3 linked regions of the Drosophila melanogaster genome follow. The protein of the gene in region 2 interacts with the protein of the main gene of each other region in a pairwise test. Each region holds a gene or a part of one and is shown on either strand. Other genes may lie near its edges.

Region 1 (3,410 bases), on a different chromosome or scaffold from region 2:
TCTCCCGATCCTTTTCGTCCTTCTTCTGGGCGAGCTTCTTCTCCCGTTCCCGCACTATATCCTCCTGCTTGGCCTTCATCTCGTCGAGGGTGACCAGACCAATGGTCGAGGACTTGAGCTGCTGCTCCACGGCATCGTAGTGGGTGGCAAACTTGTTCTCAATCTTGTCCAGCTTGAGCTCCTCCTCGATCTTCTTCTTGCGAAACTCGATCTCCTGCTGCTGGATCTCCCGCTTCTTCATCAGCTGGGCTGCACGGCCCGCCTCGCTGGCGGCACCTTTGTAGTGGGCCATCCTTAGTTGTTTCTGTATTTATTTATATTTTTTTTTATTTAATTCGTAAACGAAATTTGTAAACATCCAATTGGTGTGACCGTAGCAGAAACATTGAAAAATGCCATTCTTCGTATAAAAAATTTACAGCACAAAACACTACCTTACCAATTTGAAATAATAAAATATTTAATCTTGAAATTATTTAAAATTTACTAGCTGTCCATTCCCCTGATATAAGAGCAAAAAGAAGAGGATCACTATTTCTCTGCAACGATTTTGAAAAATAAAGATAAATCTTAGATTTTTAGCTGTTTTTTTTAATATCCTTTATATTTAGTTACAGTCGTAAGTTTTTCTTTAACTTGCTTCATGCTTTCGCTCAGTGTACTAAATCTACGTTGATCCATTGGAAGATTCCTCCTGTGCCTCGGATTTGTCCTCCTCCTTGCTGTCACCATCGGCATCTGTTCCATCATCGCCAGGTTGGCTTGGATCTGGATTGCTGGAGCTACTGCCGTTGCTCTCGGCCAAATCGTTCTGGTCGAAACCATTCGTGTATTCCGGCGTTGGAGCCGTGTCATTGGCGCTGGGCGGCGGGGTAATCTTCCGCAGCTGCTGACGGGCGGCATGGACGATCTTTTCCAGCTCGACGCACTCCGTCTCGATCTCGTAGTTCTTGGAGACCAGCAGCACCCAATGGGCTTCCAGGGAGCGCAGTCGCTCGCCGGCCTGCGTTTGCGCCTGCTTGCGCTGCCAGTTGACATCTTGAATGTCCTTCTTCAGCTGCTGCAGCTGGAGCTGCGCCTTCGCCTGCATGGCGGTGAAGACCTCCAGGTAGGACTTCCATGCCTCCGTGCCGTAGTCGAGCATTAGCTCCAGGTTGAGAGAGCGCACCCACTGGTGCTCCAGCTGGGCCATCGAGTTCTCAATGGCCTCCTGCCAGGCGGACACCTCCGACAATTTGCCCGATGGCGGCGGTGGCAGTTCGTAGCGCTTCATGGAGAGCGTCTCCATGGGCAGGCGGTTCTGGATGCGCTCGAACTCGTTGGCCATCAGCGGAGTCTCAAAGGGCGAGCTGGCGGGCAGTGGCAGATGGTCAAGGTAATTTTTTGTGGGCCTATAGCGCCGGCATTCCTCCTCCACCATGGCGAGAGCCTTTGGAAGAAGAAGATGCCATTTCAAAGTCAGTTTCAACGTGCAACATGGATATCCGTATATTTACCGATTCCCGGACGCCCACATCGTCATAGCCGTGATCTATGTAGGGCAGAGCATCCACAATAACTTCGCCAGCCATTATTTATTATTAATTTCTGTGTTTTGAGACTGTTTTTTCCGCAAGTAAACAAATACAATTGCCGCTTCGCACTAGTGTGGCACATTTAGCTACTTTATAGCTATATAAACGGATAACAGAATGCTGTTAATTAATAGCCATATATCTATTTAGTAAATTTTTTTGTTTTAACATGAACATTTAAGCAAAAAATAAGCGTTGTTTTCTCACCAATAAAAGTTGTGTAAGTTAGTTTTTAACGTATGTATGTATTATGTATTGTTTGATTATTTATTATGCGGTTAAATTACAACAATTGTATTCTTGTTCTTTAAAAACGCATTGCTAATTTATAAATTTAACTAAAATACGTTATTGATAAATTCGAATTTAGATTTGTAATATTATAGTTTAATTGCGAGAATATAAACAAAAACTTCTCTTACGAGAGAAAAAAAAAGCTAAAAGTGTTGGACAGCGTCCAATTAGCCCTGTAAGCTTGACACTTGCTGCTGTTAGCAAATGCAACCATGCGCCGTGGAACGCGATTGGCAGCCATTTCCGGCAGCTCTCTTTCTTTCTTCGTTCTTCTTAATAAAAAGAGGACGGTATCTGCGTTTGCAGAATATTTAGCACCTTTCATTGGGTTTGAAAATCAACGAAAATGGTGAGAAACGAAGCACAAGGCACTCCGCAACCGCAGCAGACCCCAAAACATTGGATTTAACACACGAAACGATGCGAAAATAGTGCAAAAGTGTCGCCCTAACCTCCACGTGTTTGGAATGTGCGGCGATGGCGAAATGCGCTTGTTGTGTTTTGTGATGTGAAATGATCAGTGAACTAAACCCGAATACCATGTGCACTTTCAGAGCTTAGGCAACGCCAGGCCATTGGTCTCCGTGTACACGGAAAAGAACGAGCCAGCCAAGGACAAGAACATATGCCTGCCGGCAGTGTTCAAGGCGCCCATTCGTCCGGATGTGGTCAACGAGGTTCACCAGCTGCTCCGCCGCAACAACCGACAGGCCTACGCCGTCAGCGAGCTGGCTGGTGAGTAAACTGTTTATAACTCCTCTTTTGTGTGAATCTAACCCGTTTGAATTCCTGTTTGCAGGTCACCAGACCTCCGCCGAGTCCTGGGGTACCGGACGTGCTGTGGCCCGTATTCCCCGTGTGCGTGGTGGCGGTACCCACCGTTCCGGCCAGGGAGCCTTCGGCAACATGTGCCGTGGTGGACGCATGTTCGCCCCCACCAAGACGTTCCGTCGCTGGCACCGCAAGGTGAATGTCAACCAGCGTCGCTACGCCCTGGTGTCGGCCATCGCCGCCTCAGGAGTGCCAGCTCTGGTCCAGTCCAAGGGACATGTCATCGACGGCGTCTCCGAGTTCCCGCTGGTCGTGTCCGATGAGGTGCAAAAGGTCCAGAAGACCAAGCAGGCTGTCATCTTCCTGCGTCGCCTGAAGATCTGGGCTGACATCCAGAAGGTGGGTAACTTTGTACACCTATGAAGAACTTAATCCGAAGAATGTTAGGTCACTTAACTGTGCGTCTATTCAACTTCAACGTATTTATTTAACAAAACGTGAAGTTGTGATGTTTTAATTGCAAAGTTATAACTTTTTATTGGATTCCTACTTTTCGGATGCTTTCTAAATCTTACTTGGCAGCGTGCAAGCAACTGGCTACTCTTCTGGTTGTCCGATGCTTGCAGGGATCTCCTGCGTTGCCAGATAAAATGCTCTTCTTGGCGTTACGATTGAAACTTGATTCACGGCTTCCATCGTGGTAACGGAAGAGCAACAGCTGTTGTATTCATGTTCTCTATTTCCGAATTCCTGGAATATACATACTCACTA
Region 2 (3,756 bases):
GTGGTGTAGATGGTGTACTTACTCTGATGATATTCAAAAAGGGCAGTAGGTATATAAAATTATAAAGGAATGTGGGCAGCTGGGCGACACTCATCACGGAGCACGGCTCGTCGGCGGCCTTCAGCAGGATGTTGTAGACCTCGACATTGGGTTCTGGATAGGTGCTAACTATGTCCTTGCGCAATTGGTGGTACCATTCCACAAAGATCTGGTGCTGCAGCTGCAGAAACCCCTCGCGAATATATATATCCTGCTGCTTATCGTGCTTGGCCCGATCCCGTCCGGGATTAATGCGACCCGAACAGCGGGTTATCCACAGGCGATCCTCGGTGAGGAACGGAGCGATCGTGCGGAACTCGCTGGGAAACCGAATCGAGATGGACAGAGTCAAAGGAGTGCCGTCATCGCGCAGATCATTGAAAACAATGCCCGCCAGGGTAGTCCGCTCATCGAACTGATTTTGCATTTCGGACTCGCTCTCGTAGCCCACGGTTGAGCTCAGTTCCAGCGTTTTGGCCACATTCTTGGTCACCTCCGATGTAAACGTCGTTTCCGGCGTGAAGGCCAGGATGTACTTGGTTTTCTCCCGCTTCGAGTCTGCCATGCGTCTGCGGAAGGTAACAAAACCATATAAATAGGTAGGAGCATTAAGTTGCGCCTTTGGATGGCGCTACATTCAAAAGGTTGTAGGTGAATACTATGCACTTACGTCAATATATTTATGTCCTGCAGTTTGTGGGACACGATGCTCTGCTCGTTTTCGTTCTCGGTGGTCGTGTATAGAAGCCTTTTGGAGTGAGCGATGGGGTTGAGAAAGATCACTAGGACCATTATCACTAGGGCGACGATCTCGAAGAGCGTCCGCCGCCACAGATTTAACTCGATGCGGATGTAGCGCTTGAAAAGAAGACCCTTGCTGGCCGGCATTTTACAATTTAAAATATAAATTTAACAAACGACAGAAATTGGTTGGCGGGTCTGCACTCCCGCACAAAACGGATGGTTTGAGTGTGAGAAGTTTGATTTTCGGCAGGGGATTTTGAAAATATTCTTATTTTGCCTTAAAACATACCAGTACTTTGTTCTCAAAGCACATTTTGATGACTATTTCAGACTACGCATTTACATGCCCAATGTTTTGAAATTTTCATAGATAATATTGAACACCTTCAAGCTTAGAATTTGTCACATTAAGTATTCACAATTAATTAGAAATACATTACATTTTTTTCATTAGCAGCGGTATTAGGCTAATTCAAGTTCATTACTTAAAAATCGCTGGTGCTACGCAAAAACAAGAGAGAACACAATGTATTTTACCACGAATCAGAGAGAAACCTATAGTCGAGTTCCCCGACTATCAGATAACCGTTACTCAGAGAAATATCATCATTTTTCTGTCTAGAAATTGGTAAATAAATTGAAAAAATGTATCGGTTTTGGCATGTCGAAAGAAATTTACAAGACTAATATAAAAATAAAATATTAAGACATTTTTTAAAAAAGTGGGCGTGGCAGTTTTGGGTGGTTTGGGTCAACAAACTAGCGCTGTCTCCAGAATCTGTATGCTTAATCTCAACCTTCTAGCTTTTAAACTTCCTAAGATCTTGAAGTTTATGCGGACGGACAGACGAACAGGGCCAAATCGACTCGGCTATTGATCCTGATCAAGAATATATAAACTTTATATGGTCGGACACGCTTCCTTCTACCTGTTACATACTTTTCAACGTATCTAGTACACTCCATTTACTCTACGACGGGTATAATCCTACGAGTAAGGTCGTGTTTTGTTATATTTAATTTTAATTGTTTACTGGACACATTTAATTCGAAAACCTTAGCTAGGTTTTTTACCACCTAGCGTTTTTATCGATGCCGATTGCTCGATGGCATCGATATTCCGAATGCAGTGCGATAACCGGCATGTGTCATCTCGAAAAGCAAATGCAGAGTCATACAATAAAGAGGAATTAATTCGACATCTTGCATTGTGGTCCTTCAGTTCGACAAATAATAACAAATTAAAGTGTAAACAGAAAACGAAAGATGACGGTGACGAATCGGGTATGTACATTTGATTCCCCCAGCTCTTCCACCGCGAAAAACCAATGCTCCATGTTTTCGCAGATGGAAATCGAGTCGGCCTACCATAAAGGCGAGGGATTCCGGTCCTACTACATCCAAAAGATCGAGGAACTGCAGCTGGTGGTGGCCGAGAAGCACCAGAATTTGAGACGACTGCAGGCCCAGCGCAATGAGCTCAATGCTAAAGGTAAATTTACTGTTACACATATGTAGATAATGTGCATAGTTGGTTAGCTGTAGGATATAGAAAACATATAAGACTTGTTCTTGGTCTTAATATCAAAAAATCTTTAAATTTGAGAAAGCAATCCTAATTAGCACGTCTTTTGCAGTTCGGATGCTGCGGGAGGAGCTGCAGCTGCTCCAGGAACAGGGTAGCTATGTGGGCGAGGTTGTGAAGCCCATGGACAAGAAGAAAGTGCTGGTCAAGGTGCATCCCGAGGGCAAGTTCGTCGTCGATCTGGACAAAAACATAGATATCAACGACGTAACCCCCAATTGCCGCGTGGCCCTGCGCAATGAGAGCTATACGCTGCACAAGATTCTGCCCAATAAGGTGGATCCGCTGGTCTCGCTTATGATGGTTGAAAAAGTTCCTGACTCCACATACGAAATGGTTGGCGGCCTGGACAAACAGATTAAAGAGATCAAGGAGGTGATTGAGTTGCCCGTAAAGCATCCAGAGCTGTTTGATGCCTTGGGTATTGCCCAGCCGAAGGGAGTGCTCCTTTATGGACCTCCAGGTACAGGAAAGACTTTGCTGGCCAGGGCCGTTGCCCATCACACCGAGTGCACCTTCATTCGCGTCTCTGGCTCAGAGCTGGTCCAGAAATTCATCGGCGAGGGTTCGCGCATGGTTCGAGAACTCTTTGTAATGGCCCGGGAACATGCACCATCAATTATTTTCATGGACGAAATCGATTCCATTGGCTCGTCGCGTATTGAGTCAGGTTCCGGCGGCGATTCCGAGGTGCAGCGTACTATGCTGGAGCTACTTAACCAGCTGGACGGCTTTGAGGCCACCAAGAACATCAAGGTGATCATGGCCACCAATCGCATTGACATCCTGGATCCCGCTCTGCTGCGTCCCGGCCGTATTGATCGCAAGATCGAGTTCCCGCCACCAAACGAGGAGGCGCGTCTGGACATCTTGAAGATCCACTCCCGTAAGATGAACCTCACGCGTGGCATTAATCTGCGCAAGATCGCCGAGCTAATGCCAGGCGCATCAGGTGCGGAAGTCAAGGGCGTCTGCACGGAGGCCGGCATGTATGCGCTGCGCGAACGACGCGTCCATGTCACCCAGGAGGACTTCGAGATGGCTGTGGCCAAGGTGATGCAGAAGGACTCGGAGAAGAACATGTCTATCAAGAAGCTGTGGAAGTAGGCGTTGATCGGCCATTGCAAAAGAACCCTTATATTATTTTCAATAAATACATCAGTTAGTAACATAAATGCATTATTGTGTCATTGGATTTACTCCTTAGTCAGTACGCACAACCCAATTATGATCTTCACAGATAACTTTCGTTCAATGATATCTGAAGAATTGAATAGATTATCAGATTACAGTAGCAGCTTTGTAAAAAGTACATTGCAGTGTTTTCAACTGGCTGCTTGATCAGAACAAAAAAAGAGAGGTTATCCATCTCTTTCTTTTTTATGTTT
Region 3 (3,756 bases), on a different chromosome or scaffold from region 2:
GACGGTACATCCGATCCGATGTTGGAACGGATCGAAAATCAAAAATCGACAATCCGAGAGTTCCAGACACACGCACTCTGGGAAAAAACGTCCTGCAGCAGGACCTTTGCCTATTGATTCAGGCTGTTTGATCATTGGCTCGCCGCCGCTTGGGAAAGTTTGTACTAAATGTTGTGTACATATTGCTTAATTTAATCACCCAAAGTCAATCCTGCCAAGGACCGCTTGTGACGGAGTGTGTCGCAATGGGCTTAGTCTCAGGATCCTCGGATCCTAAGTCCGTATACGGGTAAAACCAGTCAATGGGAATGTTTCTTGTTTTGCCAAGTTAAAGGATTAGTCGCAGATCCATTGCGGAAATGCTTCACCTGGAAAGTCGACAAGTCAAAGTCATGGGAATGTACGGAATTCGGAAGCAGGATAATAGGATATGCATTATCCATGTTTTGTCGGACTTGGGAAATATCTTATAGTTGGCGGAAAATCCAACCGAAGAATAGGATTTAATTCGGAAGCATAAATATGGCATGTGCAATTTAAAACTATTCATTAATGAGGAAAATTCGTATTTTCTTGAATGCTATGAAATATTTGTCTTTTTAAATGAGATATGAAAAATATTAATTATATAGAAGCCCGAATAATAATAATAAAAATTGTAAAGATATTTAACTACAATATCCTATAAATAACAACTACATTAATTTGATGCTTCAATAAATTTTGATTGGAAACATTCAACCCGCAGAACTTATATCTTTTAACCTTTTCCTATGACTTTACCTATTTCTAGTTTCCAAGCAATTTCCTTCAAAATATGTTAAGAAAACTGCCCATAAAGTGCACCTGCTTGTCTCGATTCAATTACAAATTATTAAATAATTATCCAAGTGAGTAGCATGAAGCATTTCGAATGAGGAACTCATTAAAGATGATTTGACAAGCTCGAGTCGCACTTCAGTTGAAAACGGTGAAAGTTCAACTATTACTTAACAACTACTTAAACAACTGAATTACAATAAATACAATACTGAGTAAAATAATTAAAAAAACTCGAAAATAAATGGTGTGTGAAAGGCATACCCAAAACTAACCAGTAATTGTGTACAATCCTTTTAATAAAGTCTTTCAATTACATTACCATTACCTCAAACTCGTCGTTAATTTGCTGTAAAATATGTCCGGCTTATCCTGCCGGAAACCCTTTTAAAAGCCAATCAATTTTCGCTACAAACGGCCGTTTCCACCCACTCGAAACTTTTATCGCCATCGCTTTGAAGCGGCTAATTGAATTCCAGATTAAAGTGTAAAGCAAAATGGGGGGGAATAAAAAAAACTGATTTGTATTGCAAATTAAAATTTAAGTGAAAACGAATCAGGCGCAAACACAAACAGGGACAATAGATTACAATATCCTGCGGCGCAGACAGCACGACATTAAAAAGGCACGAGGAGCAGCGAGAGCTGGCGCGGAATGGGTATGGACATGGCAATGGAGGTGGAAGGGACGCGCCAGGACGACACAGGACCTTCGTGCAGCTGCTGCTCCTGCTGATGGCACATGCGCCTGGGAGGGCTGCGTTTCGGGATTGGGACTGGGATGCGGGCTGGACTCCAGCGATGGCTGCCTGCCATCAGCGGCAGAAGCAGCAGCAGCAGCAGCAGCTACAGCAGCAGCAGCAGCAGCAGCAGCAACGGCAACGGCAGCAGCAGCAACTACGGCAGCAACATCGGCAGCAGCAGCAACACCAACAATATCCCAGGCTTGCGACCGTCAGGCCAACGGTTTCCGCTTGCTTACTGCTGGAACGGAAAAAGCCAAGGCACATATATCCATGCACATCCACAGGCACATTCGGTCGGAGCCACATCCATGGGATAGTAGATACCGAACGCTGAGGGCCAATCCGAGAGCAGCAGGTAGGCGTGGACGTATCTACCATTTCCAAACAACTTCAACCCCGCCACAGGCAGCTGCCGTTGGTCGGGCCGCTCGCCACCCTCGTCGCCCTCCTCCGCACTTCTCGGCCGGTTCAAAAACGGGTCGCCCTGCCAGCAGTTGCAGTCAGTTATTAACGAGCGCTACTCCCAACAGCAACATCGCTCAGCGGCAGCAGCAGCAGCAGCAAAAGCAAAAGCAAAAGCAACACTAACAACAGCAACACGAGTCACTCAAACGTGGAAGCGAGACAGGAATATCAGCACTCCACTCGCCTCGTTTCACTTCGATTCTCAAGCGTTTGAGTCGGAGAGCGGCGAACGGCCAACGAATTCAGTTTGTGTCGAGACGTTGTCGGTGGCACGTCGCATCCAAAAGAACGCTCAGTCAGCTGGGAAATATACTGAGAAAAGATACATTCGTAGATACAAGTGCTAAGCCAAAGTGAACCGTGCAGTTCGCGCAACTAAACAATTTTAAGCCAAATAAAACTACACAAGGCCAACAAAGACAGTATAATGTCTTCCACATCGGCCTCACCCATCAGCAACATAACCGTGGATGACGAGCTCAACTTAAGCAGAGAACAAGGTGGGTTCAAGTTCAAAACTGGCTCAGAACAACTTGGCAAATGCCGACGGCAAAGCGCATTACTCTCTAGCACTTTTTGACTAGTTTCAAAAAATGTTCCATTAATATTTGAAAGTAGTCTCACATAGCATTGCATTTATATGAATTGAAAACTAACCGTGGGCATTTCTATTCCTTCCTTTTTAGACTTTGCTGAAGAGGATTTCATAGTGATCAAGGAGGAGCGCGAGACAAGTCTCTCCCCCATGCTGACGCCCCCGCACACGCCCACCGAGGAGCCGCTGAGGAGAGTGCATCCGGCGATAAGCGAGGAGGCGGTGGCCACCCAGCTGCACATGCGACACATGGCCCACTACCAGCAGCAGCAACAACAGCAGCAACAGCAGCAGCAGCACCGCCTGTGGCTGCAGATGCAGCAGCAGCAGCAACAACATCAGGCTCCACAGCAGTATCCAGTTTATCCCACAGCCAGCGCCGATCCCGTGGCCGTGCACCAGCAGTTGATGAACCACTGGATCCGCAACGCAGCCATCTACCAGCAGCAACAGCAGCAGCAGCAACATCCGCACCATCATCACCACCACGGCCATCCGCACCACCCTCACCCACATCCGCATCATGTGCGTCCCTATCCCGCTGGCCTCCATAGTCTGCATGCCGCGGTCATGGGTCGCCACTTCGGAGCCATGCCCACCCTGAAACTGGGTGGTGCCGGTGGAGCGAGTGGTGTACCCAGCGGCGCAACTGGCAGCAGTCGGCCAAAGAAGCAGTTCATCTGCAAGTACTGCAACCGGCAGTTCACCAAGTCGTACAATCTGCTCATCCATGAGAGAACCCACACGGACGAGAGGCCTTACTCCTGCGACATCTGCGGCAAAGCCTTCCGGCGACAGGATCATCTGCGGGACCACCGGTACATCCACTCCAAGGACAAGCCCTTCAAGTGCAGCGATTGCGGCAAGGGTTTCTGCCAGTCGCGCACCCTGGCCGTGCACAAGGTCACCCATCTGGAGGAGGGTCCGCACAAGTGTCCCATCTGCCAGCGGAGCTTCAACCAGCGGGCCAACCTCAAGAGTCACCTCCAGAGCCACAGCGAGCAGAGCACCAAGGAGGTGGTGGTGACCACCTCACCAGCCACTTCACATTCGGTGCCAAACCAGGCATTGAGTTCGCCTCAACCTGAGAATTTGGCACAGCATCTGCCTGTCCTGGATCTATCCTCGTCA

The links.
Region 1: the proteins of Rpt6 (region 2) and BCAS2 interact in a two-hybrid assay, tested with the Drosophila melanogaster proteins (one large-scale study listed by BioGRID).
Region 3: the proteins of Rpt6 (region 2) and odd interact in a two-hybrid assay, tested with the Drosophila melanogaster proteins (one large-scale study listed by BioGRID).

The regions. Positions count from the first base shown.
Region 1 is NT_033777.3:27,920,703-27,924,112, forward strand, and holds BCAS2 (BCAS2), read right to left. Parts: upstream 1,655-3,410; 5' UTR 1,572-1,654; coding exon 1,497-1,571; intron 1,430-1,496; coding exon 668-1,429; 3' UTR 581-667; downstream 1-580. Other genes in the region: CG12259 (uncharacterized protein), read right to left, coding at 1-292; RpL4 (ribosomal protein L4), read left to right, coding at 2,215-2,217, 2,423-2,603, 2,668-3,038.
Region 2 is NC_004354.4:21,314,129-21,317,884, forward strand, and holds Rpt6 (regulatory particle triple-A ATPase 6), read left to right. Parts: upstream 1-1,923; 5' UTR 1,924-2,049; coding exon 2,050-2,067; intron 2,068-2,130; coding exon 2,131-2,275; intron 2,276-2,420; coding exon 2,421-3,475; 3' UTR 3,476-3,535; downstream 3,536-3,756. Other genes in the region: CG1801 (uncharacterized protein), read right to left, coding at 23-608, 710-927.
Region 3 is NT_033779.5:3,605,060-3,608,815, reverse strand, and holds the start of odd (odd skipped), read left to right. Parts: upstream 1-2,059; 5' UTR 2,060-2,457; coding exon 2,458-2,530; intron 2,531-2,716; coding exon 2,717-3,756. UniProt on the Drosophila melanogaster protein: Pair-rule protein that determines both the size and polarity of even-numbered as well as odd-numbered parasegments during embryogenesis.